Diceros bicornis minor: one gene and its partner. The protein of the gene in region 1 purifies or fractionates together with the protein of each later gene. This does not show direct contact. Links are inferred from orthologs where the notes say so. Each region holds a gene or a part of one and is shown on either strand. Other genes may lie near its edges.

The links.
Region 2: the proteins of GDI2 (region 1) and RAB8A purify together in Homo sapiens (co-immunoprecipitation; 5 studies listed by BioGRID and IntAct, with this or other methods). This does not show direct contact. The link is inferred for Diceros bicornis minor from reciprocal best matches to the Homo sapiens genes GDI2 and RAB8A.

The regions. Positions count from the first base shown.
Region 1 is NC_080775.1:7,006,588-7,016,818, forward strand, and holds the start of GDI2 (rab GDP dissociation inhibitor beta), read right to left. Parts: upstream 4,616-10,231; 5' UTR 4,402-4,615; coding exon 4,357-4,401; intron 1-4,356. UniProt on the Homo sapiens protein: GDP-dissociation inhibitor preventing the GDP to GTP exchange of most Rab proteins. By keeping these small GTPases in their inactive GDP-bound form regulates intracellular membrane trafficking.
Region 2 is NC_080759.1:4,349,168-4,359,219, forward strand, and holds the start of RAB8A (ras-related protein Rab-8A), read left to right. Parts: upstream 1-5,645; 5' UTR 5,646-5,680; coding exon 5,681-5,804; intron 5,805-10,052. Other genes in the region: TPM4 (tropomyosin alpha-4 chain), read left to right, coding at 1,357-1,439. UniProt on the Homo sapiens protein: The small GTPases Rab are key regulators of intracellular membrane trafficking, from the formation of transport vesicles to their fusion with membranes.

The sequences.
Region 1 (10,231 bases):
AACTGCCTACAAGATATCTATACCTTCCAAAAGTAAGGCATTTATACATATTGGCCCGATGATCACTACGGCAGTGGACAGAAAGGCCTGTGTCTACAGAACTCTAATATAGCGTTGGCAAGGATTTTCAAGGAGCAAATCTAAGAGGCAATTTAAATTACAGTTCAAGATTTTTAAATCAGGTACAAAAACTCCTCTTTGAAAGCACAAAATTTTAACAAAGAGAAAGGAGGAAAAGTATTTTGGGATATAAAACAATTTTTTAAACATAAAATGCTGAGAACAATCTGGTTAAATATCACTATAGTGTACACTTCTCTTTATAACTCCTTACCAGAATTACTAAATAGAACAAAACAAATACCTCTGGGAAGCACAAATACCTGTGGAGTTAGTTACTCTTACTTTATAGACTATTTCTAAGAAGATTCATGAATTTATTGCCAAGCCCAAAGTCAATCAGAAGTAGCAAATTAGGGGCCGCCCCGTGGCTTAGCGGTTAAGTGCGCGAGCTCCGCTACTGGCAGCCCGGGTTCGGATCCCGGGGGCGCACTGACGCACCGCTTCTCCGGCCATGCTGAGGCCGCGTCCCACATACAGCAACTAGAAGGATGTGCAACTATGACATACAACCATCTACTGCGGCTTTGGGGGAAAAAAAGGAGGAGGATTGGCAACAGATGTTAGCTCAGAGACGGTCTTCCTCAGCAAAAAGAGGAGGATTAGCATGGATGTTAGCTCAGGGCTGATCTTCCCCACAAAAAAAAAAAAAAAAGTAGAAAATTGGGTGCTCAGAGGCTGTCTATACATGCTGAAAGAAAGTAAAAGTCGCCAGCCTAATAGCAAAGTAAGCGAGCCGGGGTGGAATGAAAAGCAGACTGTAGAACTCACAAGGCTGAGCAATCTGAGACTATTTAGTAAGGCGGGCCAAAGTTCCTACAAAGCTCACCAGGTCCCAATGGCTTCACGATACAGCATAACACAATAATTAACCCTCATGATGCGAAATCTTTAGTTATCAAGTTAATTAATTATGTTCCTTAGTTTGTTAAAGTTGTGGTATCATTTGGAAAGGCTCTTATCTAAAAGTTTTGGTTCTAGGGCAGGCCCCGTGGCTTAGCGGTTAAGTGCGCGTGCTCCGCTACTGGCAGCCCGGGTTCCCATCCCGGGCGCACACCGACGCACCGCTTCTCCAGCCATGCTGAGGCTGCGTCCCACATACAGCAACTAGAAAGATGTGCAGCTGTGACATACAACTATCTACTGGGGCTTTGGGGGAAAAAATAAATAAAATTAAATTAAAAGTTTTGGTTCTTTAAAGCGATAACCCTCAATTGCTTAGAAAATTCAATTATATGGAATATCCTATTTCTCCCAGAGAAAGAAGATTTTGCTCTAGTTTTTACCAAATCTTCTTTATTAAAGTTACTATCAATATTTGTGGATTAACCTGACCTTATTTTAGATGTAACTATCAATGCAAACAAGGACAACACTAGGCAACACAGAGAAACTCCAACACATCCTTCCACTTTATTTTAAAAGTAACAAGTTAATCGTACTAAAGTACTTGACACACTGGCATCACATAATATTTGGTACCCATAACTGATAGCATACGCCTGTTTTCAGGTTCTTAAATCTCAGGCACTATATATTTATAAACCAAAAACTAAGAAAATTAGGGGCCAGCAGGGTGGTGCAAGCAGTTAAGTGCGCGCGCTCCGCTGCGGCGGCCCAGGGTTCACAGGTTCGGATCCCAGGCGCGCACCCATGCACCACTTGGCAAGCCATGCTGTGGCGGTGTCCCATATAAAGTGGAGGAAGATGGGCATGGATGTTAGCCCAGGGCCAGTCTTCCTCAGCAAAAAGAGGAGGATTGGCAGACGTTAGCCCAGGGCGGATCTTCCTCATAAAAAAAAAAAAAAAAAAAAAACTAGGAAAATTAAATATGTTCACTCTAAATACTCAAAGTTAATTCTAACTTGAGGGTTTTAAACTTTGGTGGTCTCTTCATTTAACTTTAAGTAATCAAAGTCCTTGTGTCACTAAAAATGAGGGTACAAGATTCATCATTATCAAAATCATCCCGTCACCACTATTCCTATCAATGATGGTAATAATGTGATTGCTCTGAATTGATATAATTCTCAAAAAATATGTCACAAAACAATCTATGAAGGCTCATAGGTATTAAAGTTATCACAGCTATAATATGATAGCAAAAATTGGTCTGATTTCTAGTTAGGTATGCGTCTACCACTCACCAAAAATCCAAATGAATCCAATTAATTAATCCTAATGAAAATTTAAATAAAGTGCATTATCTGAACTTGGTTGTTATACAAGACTGTGCTGTCTTTGCTACAATGTGATGCTTCTGAACTAGGCAGGTAGAAACCTGCGTGATGATGGATTTGCACTCATTTGTCCACGCTCAACTGACCTAACCAAGAGCAAATCTGAAAGACCAGCACTAACCGTAGAAAAACAGTGGAACTCACTGGCTCTTACAACATGCGGGCAGCAACAGTGCCCATTCCAGTGAGCAAAATCCATCACAAACTAAGCTCAGCTCAGAATCCCAATTAGGCATTTTAAAAACTAAAAAGACAACCCTGCAGTGGGTAGGCCAATTCATTTAGGCATCCAACAGTCTTCCAAATCACCACCAAAAAGGAAATTCAACCCAATATCTCACATTCAAAATGACTAAATAGCTTTCTAGGTAAGTAATCTCATCTATTTGGTACTATTTCCTAGGCAGGCACATGTCTATCTCTGGACCGGTCAAATATAATGAAGCATTCAGAAATGAGTATTCTCCAACAATCACCATAAATCACTATAAACAGAAAAATGACAGGCCAGAAAAGTGCCATTCTAGTTCCTAACAACCTTTTCCTAAAAAATTAGCCAAATTAAAGTTAAAACGTTTTCTCTTGTCTAGAGAAATCTAAAATAGTTATTTTGGAGTGTTACCTGAAAAAAATATTAATTTGATCCTGAGAGATTACAGTGCATTTCAACAACCCTGAAGCAGCGATTTACATTAAATGACCCAGAACTTTGGGATCAGATTATACAGGATACACAATATTTACATCAGCGTTCATCTTAAGACAAAGCAGCCCAAAGTCAGAATTTCAAATTTCCAAAAAATTCTAATAATGAAAATGGTCTTCTCTTCAAATGGAATCCTTTTGCAAGATGAATAGTATTCATTTTCTTAAAAAAGGACAAAAAGAAGTACTACAAGATACAACACCTGCCTGCATTATTTGCAGATTATCTAAAGGTCTCTAGACAGACAGATACCCAGGAAATTAAGTTTGCCATGGTATTAGCAACACCTTGCATTCACATGACAACTGCATTTTTTATGTTGGTACTGATTGATCTCCTAACTCCCTGAAGAGGATAGTAGTGGAGAACTTGGCCTCTGGCAATCCATCACCAACCCATGTCTTAAGGGAAAGCATCCAGAAGAGACAATGGAGTCAGGGAACAGACCAAACAAAAGGAAAACGTGGCAAAAGTCAGGTGAGAAAGGGTTTGATAGACAAGTTTTGAGAAAACTCATTTCCAATTCTACAGATGCTCCGTTAAGTGGGATAGGAGGGTGGTTACAAGGAATGGACAATGCTTCTCAACTGGAGTGGGGATAGGAAAACTACTTTTCTCCAAAAACTTAAGTTAACTGAACTCTGACAATTACAAAACAGTGATTATCCAAAGACTTGTCACAAAGCCTTGCGCCTCGTTCTGGCAGCCAGAGCTGAGTGGTAGTAGTGGCTGCAGGCTAAGCAGGAAATGCAACTGTGAGTGGCTTCCACCCTCCCCCACTCTGCCTGGCGCTTTTCCGTTTCCAATCCGGAGAGGCCATCCACCCGTGAGGGAGGTGGAGGGGCATCAACACCCCGATCCGGGCTTCTACGGTGCCTTCTGCAGCACAGCGACACTCCGCTGTTCCCCCCACCTGTATTTCGCCGTGACCACCCATCAGGGCACCCACGGGACCGCGTCTTCCATCTCCTGGCGCCCCCTTCCGCACTCAGAGACGACCCACTCCACCGGCCGACCCGCCCCTGCGCGGCCGCGAGCCCCCGCGCAGGCCCACTCCAGCTCCCGACCCCCGCGAAGTTCAGCCCCCGAAACCTCGACGGAGGACGCCCCCCGCGGCCAGGCCGAGGCTCGGGGCCGACGCGCGCAGGCCGTTCCGCGCGGTCTGGCGGGGTGGGCCTCGCCTCCCGCGGCGGGAGCGACGGGGCTGGGGAGGGGGCTGAGCCCCGGCCTCCCGCCCCCCGGCCCCCGGCCCGCCCCCGGCCCCCGGCCGCGCCGCCGCGCGGAGCTCACCGTCAGGCCGGTGCCCAGCACGATCACGTCGTACTCCTCATTCATGGCGGGGCAGGGCGAGGACGGGAGCGCAGAGGCGGCGCAGGATTCTAGGGGCAGGGGTTATGCGGCCACCCTGGCGGGGCGGGGAAGCGCTCCGGCGGCCTCGGGCCGAGGAAGAGGGCAGCCGGGAGGAGAGGTATACGGAGCTGGAGAGGACGGAGGCCGGCCGCCACCTCAGACGGGAAGAGAAGAGCGGGGCACGGAGGGGAGGGAAGGTGGGGAGGGGAGGGAGAGCGGGCGGCGACCCGGGCCTCCGCAGCCGGGGCGGGGCCTAGAGGAGGCGCTGGAGGGCCGTCGATCACGCCCTTCCCGCGCTCTCATTGGCTACGTCCCGTCGCCCGCCCAACCTTCTTCCGTTCCCACCTCTCGCGAGAAAAGGGCAGGATGCCTGCCGGTGGATTCCGGTTCCCCGCCCGGCCTCCTGCCACCGTGGTGGGAGGCGGAGGCGGTCGTGTGCGGACCCTGGAGGGCCGGAGGGGGCGTGCCCTCGGCCGGAGAGCGGCTGTCCGGTTCGTTAGTGCCGCCGCCGTGCAGGAGCCGGGGCGCGCCCCAGGCCCGCGCCCTGCCGCTGCCCTTGGACTTTGAGCCTGCGGCGGCCACGTGCGCCGGAACCGGCCGCGCGGGGTTCTAGGCGGGCGCGGGGAAGGCGGGCGGCCGCCCCGGGTTCCGCCCGCCGGGCTGGAGCCCACGTCCGGCGGCCCGACTCCCGCTGCGGCCCACGGCGGGCTCAGACCCCCCGGCGCTCCTGCGGCGCCTGGTCTCGTTTGCAACTTGTTTTGTTCTTTCTGTCCTGCCTCCCTTTTCCGAAGGAAAAAGGACCCAGCGTATTTTAAGGAGTTCAGAAATCACATACGTTTTATCTCACTTCCCGCCCTGTGTCATTCTTGCTTGTGCGTTGCCCCATGTGCACCCTTAGGAAATTCAGAAGAAAAAAAAAAACTTCCTTTTTAAAAGTAACCCTTAGAAAAAATTAAAAAAAAATAAAAGTAACCCTTGGTATAAAGAAAGGGGAAGGCCAGATTGGATTTGCAAGCAGGTCTGCGCCTACTGCGAGCTGTCACTTAGACCAGCTATAGAACTAGTATACGAATAGGTTTAGGCCATGCGTGTAGAAGAACCTTGGCCTTCCATCCCCTCTACCCCTACTTCCATCCCGCCACACACACCTTTTTTTTAGGATTCTCATTGGAATCTCCAGCTTTGGGTGAAGAGACAGGGGTAAGCAGAGGCTTGTGTTCTCACAGCAGACCCTATAGCGAGGCCTTCTAGACAAGCGATCTTCCTAAAGGCGTTGACAACCTGTATTTTCACCCTGAGATAGGTCTGCATAATCAGCCAACAAAAGAGTCGGTATTTCCTTCAAGCTTTACTTTCAAATATAGCTGGATAAGAGCTATTCAAAGTGAATCTTGGTAGACAGAACTTCCTTCATATTTAAATCATTCAGATTCAGGAAAGAATGAGAAAACATTTTTTGCAACGTTTCTTTGCCCCATAAAGAGAGTTTAAGAAAGTATGTTATATTGGAGAATAGACCTTTTTGAGGGGGAGGGAGAAGAAAGCAGTTTAAATTTACATACAGCCTTAATTGGATTTATATATATTAGTGACCAAAAGCATTTTTATAAGTAGACAAAAATCAAGAGCAAAGTTGACTACACTACTGAACAAATTATATAACAGTGGTGTAACTGAATTTTTGGTTGGCTAAACAGATGATGCCTTAAGGTCCTGCTCTTCCTCTCCAGGTAATCAGGAGTCACTCCATATATGCTTATAAACAATTATTTCTCACGGATCTGGAGGCTAGAGGTACAAGATCAAGGTGTGTCTGGTGAGGGCCCACTTCCTGTTTCTCATTGTCTTTTCATTGTGGGGCAAGGGATCTCTCTGGGGCTGCTTTTACAGGTTACCTATATATTTGAACTGACATGAAACACTGACCCTTTTTAAAAAAAATCAGTAATAACAATAAAGAGCCTTTTTCTCTTATTGTCATCAGCATCTGAATGTTGAAGAGGCTTTTAAGCCTATCAGCTGATTTATGTTACTATGTTTTAAGTGAAGGATATTTCATCAATATTCAGATAGAGTTACTGAGAAACTTAAAGGCATTGGATAAGGGAACTGAATTTAAGGCTAATAAGGCTCCTCAGTCTGATCCCTTACACTGAAATTTAGTTTTGTTGGCAGTACAAGTCCCATGGCCCAGCAGAAGGACCAAAAAAAACCTAAAAAACCAACTGGAGTAATCTTCAACAGGGTGAGTCCAAGCAAAATTGTGTCAGCTCTTGGATCTTCCACCCCACCTATTCCAGTTGCCAAGGAACTTGGTAGACAACAAATACTGTTTGTGGTGACCTGGCTTGAAAGCCACCAATTGGTTCAGTGTATCAAAGGCCACAGATGCCAGTTCTGATAGAGTGAAACAGGTTTGGAGGAAGTAGGTGGTTGGTGTAGAGGAGCGGAAAACACCATGAATCTTGAAAATATTTCAAATCCTTCTATAAAGCAAGAGTCCAGTGGGAGTCTTATTATACCTGGGCACTTGGGAATAACTGTTTGCTGATCTGTTTCTACTAAGCCTCCACCTGCACTTTACAAAGGAAGAACCTGAGTCCAAGGAAAAGAAATTTAGAGAGAACCTTAGCCCAGGCCACTTCCTCTGTCCCGAACCACTGCAACAGCTTCTCAACCCGTGTTCCCCCTCCTGTCTGTTCTGACCATTGTCTTCTTAAAATGTGAATCAGATCATGTTCATGCTTCCACCTCTTTTGCATTTAGAATAAAATGCAAATCTTTTAATATGGCCTAAAAAGTATGGTTTAATCTAGCCTCTCATCTGTCTCCCACTTCATCTTGCTTCTTGCTCGCTGCACTCCAAACACACTAGTCTTTCAGTTCCTAGAATCTGGTCAAGCTCTTAACCACCCAAGGGCCTCTTGTTGGTCCCATAGCCATCAGTCAACCTCACTTCCCCTCCTGCACTTCTTCTCACGGCTAGTTCTTTCCACTTCCTTAGTTTCAGCTAAAAAATCTTCCCTGACTAGCTCATCTAAAGTAGGTTCCTCTCAACCTTTATTCTCTATCAGCACGCCGCCTATTACTTTTTTTTTCATTGCTTTTTATCAAATTGGTAATTATTTTCTTTACTTGTTTTTTGTCTGCCTGCCAATCAGAGAGTAAACTCCATGAGGGCAGGGATATTATCTGTCGTGTGCACAGCTGTGCCCCTAACACCCAGAGCAGTGCTGAGCGCCTGCCAGATGGCGAGTAGATACTTGATGAATGAATGAGAGACCTGGAAGTTGATGCCTCAATCAACAAGGACTAAATGTGATAAAATAGGTACTAGTTCCTCTTGATACTTTTGAGAAGTGCAGCTTTACTTATAGCGGGAGATACTACAATTATATTTTAGAGGGTCTTCAAGATAGGGATCTATAAAATATAAACCTTTTTAAAACCTAGATAGCTAATGCTGAAGATAAAACATAATAGGATATCTAGAAAAAATTTAATGAATTTCCAAAAATACATATTTCCCTAGTTTATGATAGATCATTTACCCACCCCCCCACCCCCCCCCCAGTGTTCATCTGCTCCCAGTCCCCATCTCAGCAGTGACTGGCTCCACCCCGGGCCCAACCAGAATTCTAGATATCATCCTTGATTCTGCCTTCCTTCTCTCCTTCCACGTCTATTCCTGTTTTCTTTTGCTGTGTAACAAACAACCCTAGAACTTAGTGGCTTAAAAAAAAAACAACAACAAAACCTAGCGGCTTAAAACAACAATGTATTATTACCTCTTATGGTTCTGTGGGTTGAAGGGGCTCAGATGCGTGGGAATTACTTGGGTCTGTGACACAGCTGTAATCAGTGGCTGGGGTCATCTGAAGGCTGACCTGGACTGGACATCCAAGATGGTGCACTCACATGGCTAACAGCCGATGCTGGCTGTCGGCGGGCAGCTTAGCAGGGGTTGTCAGCCAGAGCAGCTATGTATGTGTGGCCTCTCCATGTGGCTTGCAGTTCTCAAAGTATCGTAGCTGTATTCCAAGAGCACAAGTTCCAAGAAACAAGAAATGGAAGCCGCAGGTCTCTTAATGTCTGGGCCCAGAAACTGGAACAGTGTCCCTTTTGCCATATCCTATTTGTCAAAGCAGTTACAGAGCACACCCAAATGCAAAAGGAGGAGCTCTCAGGCAGGACCTGCCTGTCAACAGGAAGAGTGTCAGTGAATTTGTAGCCATCCTTGATCTGCCATAACACTCCATTACATTCTAGCCTTTCCACCTCATAAAACTCCTTCCACTCCCTTCTCTTCAACCTCACTGCCACCACCCTAGTGTAGACAACCATTGGATTCTCTCCCAGATAATTGCAGAAGCTTCCTCATGGGACACTTGGCCTTCAGTTTAGCGATCTCAAACCTGTTCTCTGTATTACAGCCCAAGTGATCTTCATACAAATCAAAAGAGTGGGCCGGCCCAGTGGCATAGTGGTTAAGTTCACATGCTCCACTTCGGCAGCCAGGAGTTCACGGGTTTGGATTCCGGCCGCAGACCTACAGCACTCATCAAGCCATGCTGTGGCGGCATCCCACATACAAAATAGAGGAGGATGGGCACAGATGTTAGCTCAGGGACAATCTTCCATCAGCAAAAAGAGGAAGATTGGCAACAGATGTTAGGTCACGGCCAATCTTCCTCACCAAAAAAAAATCAATAGTGACTGAGTTGACCATGTCTTTAAAATCTTTCATGGGTCTCCACTGTTCTCCGGATACAGTCCAAACACCTGTTCATTTCCTAAGATGAGCTTGAATGATCTGGCCCTCAATTACCTAGTCAACCAAATCTGTCACCACAACCCTCCTCCACCCCTCACCATATTTTCGATTCACTGTTGTATTAGTCAGTGTCCAGTCAGAAAAACAGAAACCACTCTAGGTATTTTAAATAGAAGCAATATAATAGAGGCAACTGGGTTTCAAAACTTGAAAGGGCTGGAGGGGCAAAAAAGACAAGGTTACCCAGAAGTTAGGAACTGCCTGGAACTCTAGGCTGGAGCAGGAGGGGAAATGGTGTTTCCCAACGCTGAGGACTGCTGCGCTGCTCAGGCTGACCCACTGCCATTACTGCCACTACTGCAGCCACTGCCGCTACTGCTGCTGGATCCCAGGAGACCCCGCTCACTGGCTGCTACTGCTGCCAGGACTGGAGACGCTACCAACAGCCCGAGAACATGGCTTCTCCAGTCTCCCACCGGTGATTTCCATCGGCAGATCCTCGCCAGAAGCCAGTTGGCAGAGGGATATGGGAAGTGTCATTTGCTGACTCAGCCCCTGCAGTACAGAGAAAAGCAGGAGTGGAGCCGAGAGCTAGCAGACAGATGATGAGCACAGCTGCTCTGAACGGTTTTGTGTTCCATGAACTTGCCATGCTCTTTCCCTTCTGGACACTGTTCCCTCTGTCTGGAAAGTTCTTCCCTATTCTTCTACTTGACCTTGCTTTGTCCTGCTTGTTGGATTTCTCAGTGCAGATGTCACTTCTTCCAGGAATCTTTCCTTAATTCCCAGTCTGGATTAAATTCCTCTATTCTGGGTTCCCACAGTACCCTCTACTGCCCTTCTCTTAGCACCTATCACCTGGGTTGTAAGTGTTGACTGCTCTAGTCTTACCAAGTTGTGTTCCTCTACACTCTACACTCTCATCCTTTTTTCCTTACCATCTAGAGCACAGGAGGCACTAAAATATTTAATGCAGGGGCTCATAACCTGGGGGATAACTATGATGTCCTCTCAGTGGTCTATGAACCCTCAGATGTGTAT
Region 2 (10,052 bases), on another chromosome or scaffold:
CAGACCTAATAACAAAGTAGATGCCAGGGAATCCAAGTGGCAAGGTGAAAGGAGGTCAGGATTTGAAGTCGGAAGATCTGGGTTTGGATTCTAGCTCTGCCACTTTAGCTGTGCAGCCTTGAACAAGCTACCTAGCTTTTCTGCAAAATAAAGGTGATACTTCAGCGACTGCAAGGATTAAAAGAGATAATTGAGAAATTGGCTCACGTATAGTAGACACTCAGTTACCACGTGTTCATCCAGACGGGACAGGCCCAGGTCACTGTTCTCTCTCCGAAGGAACCCTCCCAGATCATAGTCACCTGATTTTTAAGTGCCTCATCAAATGAAAGGTTCACTAGTTGTAGTTGAAAGGCTGCCATTTTTGCAGTCTCTTTTTTTTCTTTCTGAAAATTTCCAAGCTGATCCTATCACATTTTATGAGGCATTTTTGCTTTCCTCCAGTATTTTAATGAGTCTTGGCCTAGTCCCTTATCGGCCATTGCTCATTGCAAACCAGTTCTCTCTCGTGCTCTGTCATGCATAGCTCTAAATGGCATCTTACTTTTTTTTTTAATCTATTTCAGCAGCTCAATCACTTAATAACATACCCGTATGTAAATTTCAGCCACGTTGCATTTACTTGGGTTTGACTACATTGCTATGGACACACAAACACAATAACACAGTAATGCCTGGAATTTAAACAGCCATTCCCAGAAACTCTAAAGGAAAGATGGGTTACAGGATTATATTTTTCTACCAAAGGCTAATTGACTGGCACTAGGAGGAAAATGTATTAAGTCACCCATAACTAGGATTAATATCTTATGTTTGTGTAGCACTTCATAAGTTCTAAAGCACTTCCCATTTGTTCCTCATAATAACCCCTATACCACACATTGGTATTGTTATCCCCATTTGACAGATGGGGAAACTGAGGCCTAGAAAGGTTAAATGGCTTACTTTGGTGGCAAAACTGGGGCTTAAATCCAGGTGTTCTGACTCTAGGATTGTCAGATTTATTAGCAAATTAAAATTAAATTTAGCAAATTAAAATACAGAACACCCAGTTAAATCTGAAAGGGAATGAATAAATTTTTGATATATCATGCAATATTTTGGGAAATACTTATGCTAAAAACTTCTCTCTTGTTTATCTGAAATTCAAATTTGTATTTTATCTTGCAACCCTATCCAAATCCCTGATTTGGTACTTGATCTCTATTATTCTATGGTACTCTGCTATAATTAAAATGCAAAGTACCTTCTCTGCTATGACTTTAATTCTGACAGTTGGGAGTTTAGAAACCTTTTTTTTTTTTTTTAATAAAGATGCTTATTAATTTATTTTTCCCCACTCTTAATCCTCACCAGAAAAACTTGCCCAGGCCAAAGAAGAGAACGTGGGCTTACATCAGACACTGGATCAGACACTAAATGAACTTAACTGTATATAACCAAGACAGAAGAGTCTTATTCCAACAGAAACTCCAGAGCTCCGTGTCTTTCTCTTCTCTTGTAAAAAGTTTGTTATTGCATCTTTGCTTTGCTGGAAATGTCAAGCAAATTATGAATACATGACCAAATATTTTGTATCAGAGAAGCTTTGAGCACCACTTAAATCTAATTCCTTCCTTTTTTTCAAATGGCACCAGCTTTTTCAGCTCCATTTTTATCCTTAAGTTGCATTTATTCCTAAGGTAGGCAGGGTATTTCGTATTGAGCATACTCTTAAGACTGAGGGCATTTGGTTCCTGGGAGAATAGACAACCCCACACTTTCAGAACACAGACTCCAATATCTAGTCATGGGTCAATTTAAAAGGCTGAAGGATGTAACCTTCTGTACCAGCATTGGTCACACTACAGGAAGCAAGGGACCATCACATTAAAATGGGTGGGGAGTTTCCATCCAGAGCAAAAACAAAAAAACCGGGGGGGGGCTATTGTGGGAAGTCATAAAGCACAGATAGATTAACCTAATCATCTTCTTTTCCACACTCCACTGTGCAGAACAAACATCCTCTGAGCAGTCAGCACGAGAATGCTCAGGAAATGGTCATAATTACCCCAGTATTTTCTGGATAGATCTTTGATGTTATGCTGTTTTATGTGTTTTATTCTAAAGTTGTTCTGAGGAGCAGATGTCTAACTCCAATAATGACCCATGCTTGTCTGCTCTGATATGAGGCCATCCACTCAGCAGGAATGAATATGGTAGAATTCAGTCCTATTCAGAGAAGCCATATCAAAAAGACTGCTAGCCATCAATAATTGAGCAAGAGTGTTTTTCTGTTAACAAATACTGGGCAGAAGTAGAGAATAAAAAAAAACTGGCCTAACTTCATCTCCTCTATACTTAAGGGAATGACAAATTGAAGATTTACTTATCTAGGACTTTAATTCCTTCTTTAGGACCAAGTTAATAAAAGACCAAGAAGCTCCTGATTAAACTGGATATGGAGTATTTTGTAGACAGGGGTGCACATTTTGGCTTTGTTATATTTCTGCTTTCTCAGTTAACATCTCAGAGCTGAAACATTCCACATTCCCCAGCAATGTGGGGGCCAACTCAAGTTTACAATTCTGACTAAAAATCACCCTGCTTCTAGCTTATCCAAATCCTCTGCCCCTCACTCCTATTTATTAAGCATCACACTACCCAGGAGGTACACTAGCAAACTGTGCAACTGAATAAAACCCACACTTTTCATTTAGATTCTTGCAACTGTATCATATGTAATAGTATCACTTTTTCTACATTTTGGTCAAATAAATTTTTACATAAACTACAATTTGTGTGAATTTTGGAGTGTGGGGACATACACACCATTTTGGTTCAATGAATGTTAATGGGATGGAAAGGACAGATAACTGCCAAGAACTTAGCAAATGTTATTTATTTGCTTTATACCATGACTTCAAGATATAAGGATTATGATCTCTATGTTACAGGTGAGAGCACTTTGTCTCAGTAACTCAAAAGCTCCTGTTATCCCCAATCTTGCCTGGGCCAGGCTGTGCAGAGTAAGATTTTAATAGATGAGACAGGGGCAGGAAAGATGGTCCCTGTTGAGTCCATAAAGCACAAGGCCTGCCTGGGTAAGGTCTTCTGTATGTTGCATATAAAAAGGAAAGCAGTAGGAAAGCTGAAAGGTAGGCTGCATCTATAATGATGCGGGCCTGAACTTGACTGCGTTAGAAGTGGAGAGCCACTGAAGACTAATCAATAAATCAAAGAAATACATTAGGAAAATCCACTTAGCATTTTCAGGAAGGACTAGAGTAGGGGCAGACTAGAGGTTGGAAGACCAGTTAGGAAGATGTTTCAATTAATCAGGATAGTGCTTGCCATAGAATAAGAAGGAAGAAGTGATCTGAAGGAAGTAATCTTAAAACTTAGCTGACTGGATGGCAGGGAACTTAAAGAAGCAAGTGTCAAAGCGGACTGCAGTTTCACTACCTGAATTGCTTTGATATTTGCCTCAGGATCTGATCTTGGGGAAGGGGGACAGGGAATCAAAAAGAAACGAAAGCCTTTAAAACATTAGTGTAGTATGCAAGCAATTTTTTGTTACCAACTACAATTAAAAACATTTCCTTCATATTTCCTTCATACTCAACACTTGGCTGACACTGTTGAGCTGGCAGATGCAGGGAACGTCAATGAATAAGGTGTAACCCCTCCCGAGTGCCCTACCATGACTAGATTGAAGTTCCTTCTCTCCCTCCTCCGCACCCCCCGGACGGTAGTCTAATCTCAGGATACCGTTTGTCACCCTCGTGCCTCACTCCTTAACGTGTGCTCCGTGCCTGTTGACCTGGCCTCGGCTCTTGCGGCGTTCGCAACGCCGTGAGGTGAGGTGGAGCGCAGCGGGCGGCGAGCGCCCGGTGGTGCGGACTTGGTGCTGCCACCAGGCCGCGGATGGGTCCTGGGTGCGTGTTTTAGAACGGCCACACTGCAGGGTGGAATCTGGATTAAAGAATGATCCGGATTAGGGAGACCAGTGGAGAGAGGCGACCACTGATGGGAAACGGAAATACAAGACCCGGATTCGAGAGCTATTCAGAACCTCCTTCAGACCCAGGATGTGAGGGACGAAAGGAAGCGTCCAGGACGACTCAGGATTCGCTCCGAAGCTACCTCAGGACAAGCTGGAGCGCGCAGGAGAGGACAAGTTCCGTCGCGGACATGCTGACAAACCCAAAGGCAGACGCCCAGAGGGCAGGGGGTGACGAGGCTGCGTCGCGTCCTCCGGGGACCGGCACTCACAGCGAGACGCCGAAGCCACGCCGAGAGCGGGCACGCACGTCCGCACAGCCCAGCAGAGGAGGGCCGCCAGCTAGGCACGAGCGGAGAGCCCGACCGCCTCGGCGGCACCTGAGGAGCAGCCCCAGGCCAGGGGGCGGGGAAGCCGGCCGGTAAGACGCGAGGGCACCAGCAGAGAGGGTGCCGGCCGCGCGGCCCGCAGTCCGAGGACCACCGGAGCCGGAGGGGCGCAAGGGGCACGGCGGCGGCCGGGCCGTCCTGCGGACACCCCCGTGACCCACGGCGGCGCGGCCACAGCCCATCCCCGAGAAGCGGGAAGCCGTGGTGGTCGAGCCCGCGGCCGCCGGCTCGTCGGCCTGAGTTCAGAAGCCGGCTTCCCCCTTGCGGGGCCGGGGAAGGCCCGCGCCTGCCGGCCCGGCTTTCTCCCCACACACCCGGGCGGCACCTCCCGCCTCGGGGCCGGGCGCGGAGGAAACGCCCGCGCGTGCGCTGTGAGGGCGACAGCGCCGGCGGCCCGGAGCCGACGCTCACAAGCGCGACCTGACTCCCTCGCGGGCTCCCAGCCCCGGCCCTCAGGCGGCTGACCGGGCGGCGGCGGGCGAGGCCCGGGAGACAGGAGGCCGAGAGAGGCCCGGACAGCCGCTAATGCAGTCAAGGCGCGTCCTTAGGAGCCCTGCGCACCTCCGGGCGCAGCTCGCGGCGGTGAGGCCGCTCAGGCGGTGGAGGCCCGGCTATCTCGGAGTAGGTCGCCTGGCCAGCGCCGAAATGGCAGAGCACGTCTCGGGGAGTCCTCGCTTCGACTCTGACGAGCGTCCGTACGTTCCTCTGCTCTTTGGCTCCCAGCGGCCTGACGCGGAGGGCCGCAAAGCACAGATTACAGCCGCCGTCTCTTCCCGCGCTCGTCCCGTCGCCTACTGAGACTGCGCGGGCCGTGAGGGCGGGAGCCAGAGACCCATGCGCGTGCGCCCTCTGCTGGCGCCTAACGATCTCCTCAGCGCGCGTGCGCACGCGCCCCAGGCCCCGCCCGTGGGCTGCGAGCGCGCGGAGCCGTTGGCGACGCACCCCCCACCCCTCCCGTCAGGGGACGGGGCGGGGCCGCCCAGAGTCCGGGAGGCGGGGACACGGGGGTGCCACGGCCCCGCCCTGATCCCCATTTGAAGCCCCTCGACTCGTCACCGCTGGCCAATCGCAGCCCGCCCTGTACCGAGCGCCAGCCAATGAGCGGCGTGCTCGGGCCGCTTCCGGCCCCGCGCCCCAGTCGCCCCTTCCCCAGCTCTGCTGGCGACGGGCGGGGCGCGGGGGCGGGCGTCAGCCGCAGTGACGCGCGACGGGCCGGGAGCCAATGGGGGGCGGGCTCCGCGCTGATGGACGGGGCCAGCGGCCAGTGGCCAGGCACTGGCCGCACTTCCCGTTGGGGAGAGAGTGTAATATGGCGAAGACCTACGATTACCTCTTCAAGCTGCTGCTGATCGGGGACTCGGGGGTGGGGAAGACCTGTGTCCTGTTCCGCTTCTCCGAGGACGCCTTCAACTCCACCTTCATCTCCACCATAGGTAGCGGGGCCGGCGAGCGGCCGGGCGCGCCCCTGACGGGCTGGGGTTGAGGGAGCGGCCGGGCCGGACTGACTGAGGGCTCTGAGAGGGTCGAGGGGGCCGGCGGGGAGAAGAGTGGCGCCTCCACCGCCGTTCGGGGGTTCCCGGGCCATGGGGAGGGCCGGGTGTCCATTTAGAGAGGCTGAGGCCTCGACCCCCAGCCCGCTTGTCTGGGAGCGTATGTCCTGGGCTGGGGTCTTGGCGCCCGTCATCTCCTGTCGTCGCAGAGGCCCTCGAAGCGGTTCTTTGGGGTCTTAACAGAAGTGGAAACTGAGGCGCGGAGAGTTGGCCATGGGAAAAGGACCGTGACATCTGACTTTGTCGAGCATTTATTGTCTGCATATCACACTCTCCAGGCCTCTGTGTTAGCTGCTGTTAGGAGCCCATCTCACGGAGGAGGAGTTTGAGGCTCGGGGAGGGCACGGGACTCGCCCAAGGTCACACAGTGTGCAGGTGACAAGGATGAGATTTGAACCCAGGTGTGTCTGACCCCAAAACTCAAGGTTCAACCATCCCAGAGAGATGCGAGCACTCACCCCCAGGTCAAGCACAGCTGATCCCCCTCGGAGCCAGGACTCCAACCTAGACTTCCCCTGCTCTTTCCTCTGGAATATTCAGGAGTTGAGCCCCTCCCCCTGACTCTGTTTCCCCTGTGGCTGAATTTCCTCTAGAAGGAATGGTGAGAGGGAGTCCTGACCCTTTTCCTGCCCAGCCTTCTGACCCAGTCAAGGTGACAGCAATGGCAAGTGACAGCTGCCTGCCCGTCATCCCCAAGGAGATGCCGGATTAAAGCTTCAGGGAGAAACTAAAATCAGCCAGTGCCACAGACAACCCTGACTTCCCTATCTCGAGGCCCAGGACACCGGTTGTCACTTTGCAGAACAGCCTTTCCCGCAGGGCCAGCCCACATTGTGGTTGAACAGAATTGGCTTACCACTCCTTGGTTCTGACGTCCACAAAAGTGGAGCTGACTTCGCCCCCTGCCACAAAAACTGCCACTGCCTACTTGGAAAGGTTTGATCTGGGGGTAACATCAGTCACAGAGTGGCCTGTGAGCCTCACTCTGGAGTGGGGAAGTGAGACAATGGTCGCCAAGCTCAGGAGTTGATCTCAAATGGAGAAAACCTAGGGAAGGGGCTTTGCTTTACCCCCGTGTAACTTGAACCCAATCGCCTTATCTCCCTGAACCCCACGATGAGCTGCTGATTCCGTCTTTGCTCTCCTCCGGAAGCGCACTTTGCAAAACACTTAGGTGCCAAATGCTGAGAAAATTAGACTGGAAATCATCATGCCTGATTTCCAGCCACCACTTGCCGTTGAACAAGCACTTGACTTCTCTGAGCCCTGTTTCTTTGGTTTAAGTGTGGTGCTTTCTGCCTTGACCAGTGCTCTGGATGGTTGAGGATCAGAACTGTACAATGACTAGGGGCTTTGTCACCACTGCCAGAGGCTGTCTAGAGGAAGCAGAATGGCTCCTGTAATGACAGCAGCCCTCCCCTGGGCACAGGTGTTTCAAATTCCTCCCCTTCCCCCACTCCAAGGTCAAACTTTGGGATAACCTTTGCATCCCCACCAGTCAAGAAGATGTTAACTCCTGGCAGGTTGTGGCTCTCTCCCAACCCAGACCTCAGTTTCCCGGCGTCGGAAATTTCTTGCTCAGCAAGAGCATTAGTGAGATCAATTTGGGAGTTGGGGTTTTTCTTTGGTTTCAAATTCTTGACCAGAAAACCCAGTCTAGCGCTTTAGGGCTCCAAGGAAGCTGGCTTCCATTTGCAGGCGAAGACGTGACTTGGGCGAGGTCGCATAGGGAGGTGAAGGTGAACTTGACCCAGGATTCTTCTCATTAGATATGTAGCTTCCTGCAGGCCTCTGTCTTCTAGGAAAGTTTAAATCACTCAGACCTTGAAGTTATGGCCTCATAATTCTTAGGCCCCATAAAATTTATACTTCCTAATTAAATTTGGTGTGTTAATATAACCCAGGAGGAGGATAGGGCAGAGTGATGCCGTGGAGCTCTGCCAATTGAACAGTACTTCTTGATTTCGTATGTCTCTGTGCATCTGTGACAGGAGGTGGGTAAAGAGACCACACTGGGCCGCTTAGTCCTGAAATACAACTTAATGCATAAAGGCGATTCTCTGTTGGCACTGAGTGTACCTCCAGGTTTTCTTTATAGATTTGGGATTAAGTGCCTGTTCATTTTCTGCCCAGGTTTCATTTTGCCAAAGCCTGTTCTCATAAGCTGCATTGATCATTAGTGGTGTGAACTTGGCCCTGTGGCTCCCTGGAATTGGTTCTGCCTAGCCTGGCTCTGCCCCCACTGCCCCTCAGGGCCTCATTTATTCATTCCTTAAGGAGATGGATGATGTAAACTGTGCGGCACCACGAAGACCCCGATGCACTTAATTCTTTCATTCAGCTGTCTTTCCCCAACGCCTCCTGCGAACCAGGCATCCGCCTCCGTGCGGGGGTTGCAGAGATGACTCGGATAAATCAGAGGGAAGCAGAAATGTAATGAGGTCTGTGCTCAAGGTGTGTGTGCAGGGCGATTGGCTTCTAGCAAATGTGTATTCAGCCCCTGCCCATGCTTAGTCATTGGAGATGCTGCCCAGAGTAAGAAGTGGGAGTCCCTGCCCTCGAGGAGCTTATTTCTAGTGGGCAGAATCCAAGTGCAGGCTTATGTTCCCTGTGGTCCCCAGGACAGCTCCTAGGTGGGCAGGGCTGGAATTAGCATCTCCATCATGGCCTGAGCCTCAAGTCAGAGATTGAGAACAAACTCCCCATGCCAAAGGCTAGGTTTGGCTATTTCCCCTCCACGCAGGCCATTCGCATCATTCCCCTCCACGCAGGCCATTCGCATCAGCAAGTTTTACTCTTGGGTTCATGGAGCAAAGAAACAAATATACGATGTCGGGGATAAGTGCATGAAGAAGAAAAAGCAAGTGAGGGGAGAGAGAATGCAGATGGTCAGGAAGGCTCCCCTGAGGAGGCAACTTGAACAGAGACCTGAGTGAAGGGAGTGGGGAGCCAGGTGGCCATGGAAAGAAAGAACATTCCAAGAGAGAAGAGAGAGCAAGCGTAAAAGCCCTGAGGCCAGAATGGGTTTGGGATCTTTAGGAATCAGCTATGAGGGGGGCATGAGCCATGGGTGCTGAGAGGTGACCAGGTTAGGCAGGACCTTGGAGCACACTGGCAACTATTTTCACTGTATTTGGGGGCCGAGGAGGCAGTGGGAAGCCACTGGAAGGTGTTTTGGGGTTTTTTGATAGTTATATTGAGATATAATTCACCTACCATACAACTCACCTACTTAAAGTGTACAATTTGGTATATTCACAGAGTTGTACAATTATCACCACAGTCAATTCTAGAACATTTTCATTATTCCAAAAAGAAACCCCAAACTCTGTAGTCACCCCGCCTGCCAATCTCCCCATTCCCTCCACAGCCCCTGGCAACCACTAATCTCCTTTCTGTCTCTCTGGATTTGCCTGTTCTAGACATTTCATATGAGTGGAATCATACAGTATGTGGTCTTTTGTGTCTGGTTTCTCTCACTGAGCACAATGTTTTTGAGGTTCATCCATGTTGTAGCGTGTGTCAGAGCTTCATTCCGTTTTATGGCTGAGTAATATTCCCTTGTATGGATATACCACATTTTGTTTAACCACATTTTGTTTATCTATTGGTCTGTTGGTGAACACACTGGAAGGTTTGGAGCAGGGGTTAGCTTTGTAACATGGTTGAATTTGTGTTTTTGAAAGCTGGGGAGGTGACTGAGGGGGCAACAGTGGGAGCCTGGAGAGCAGCCAAGGAGGCCAAGAGGTCGCCCTCATCCTGAGGAAAGGGAACTAAAGCCCGTGGGTGGGAGAGAAGGAGGGCAGGATCAGGAAGGCTTCTTGGGGGCTGACCTTCTAGCAGATCTTAAAGGAGAAGGGGAAGTTTGCCAGGCTGATGGGCGGGTGGAGTGGGGCCCCTGGCAGAGAAGGACCAGCATGTGTGAAAACTGGAGACCCATGTGTATCATAGTGCATTGAGGGGCCCAGTGCACCGTGTGCTTGGAGGGCCAGGTGCAGGGTGGCGGGAATCGTGGGTCTGTGACCTGCCAAGGGCTCTGTTGGGCCCACTCGGCAAGCTACCTGTGGGGGAGGGAAGAGAGCAAGGCTTTGGCACCTGAGCTGCTCAGGTTTGCCCAGCAGCTCTGCCAGC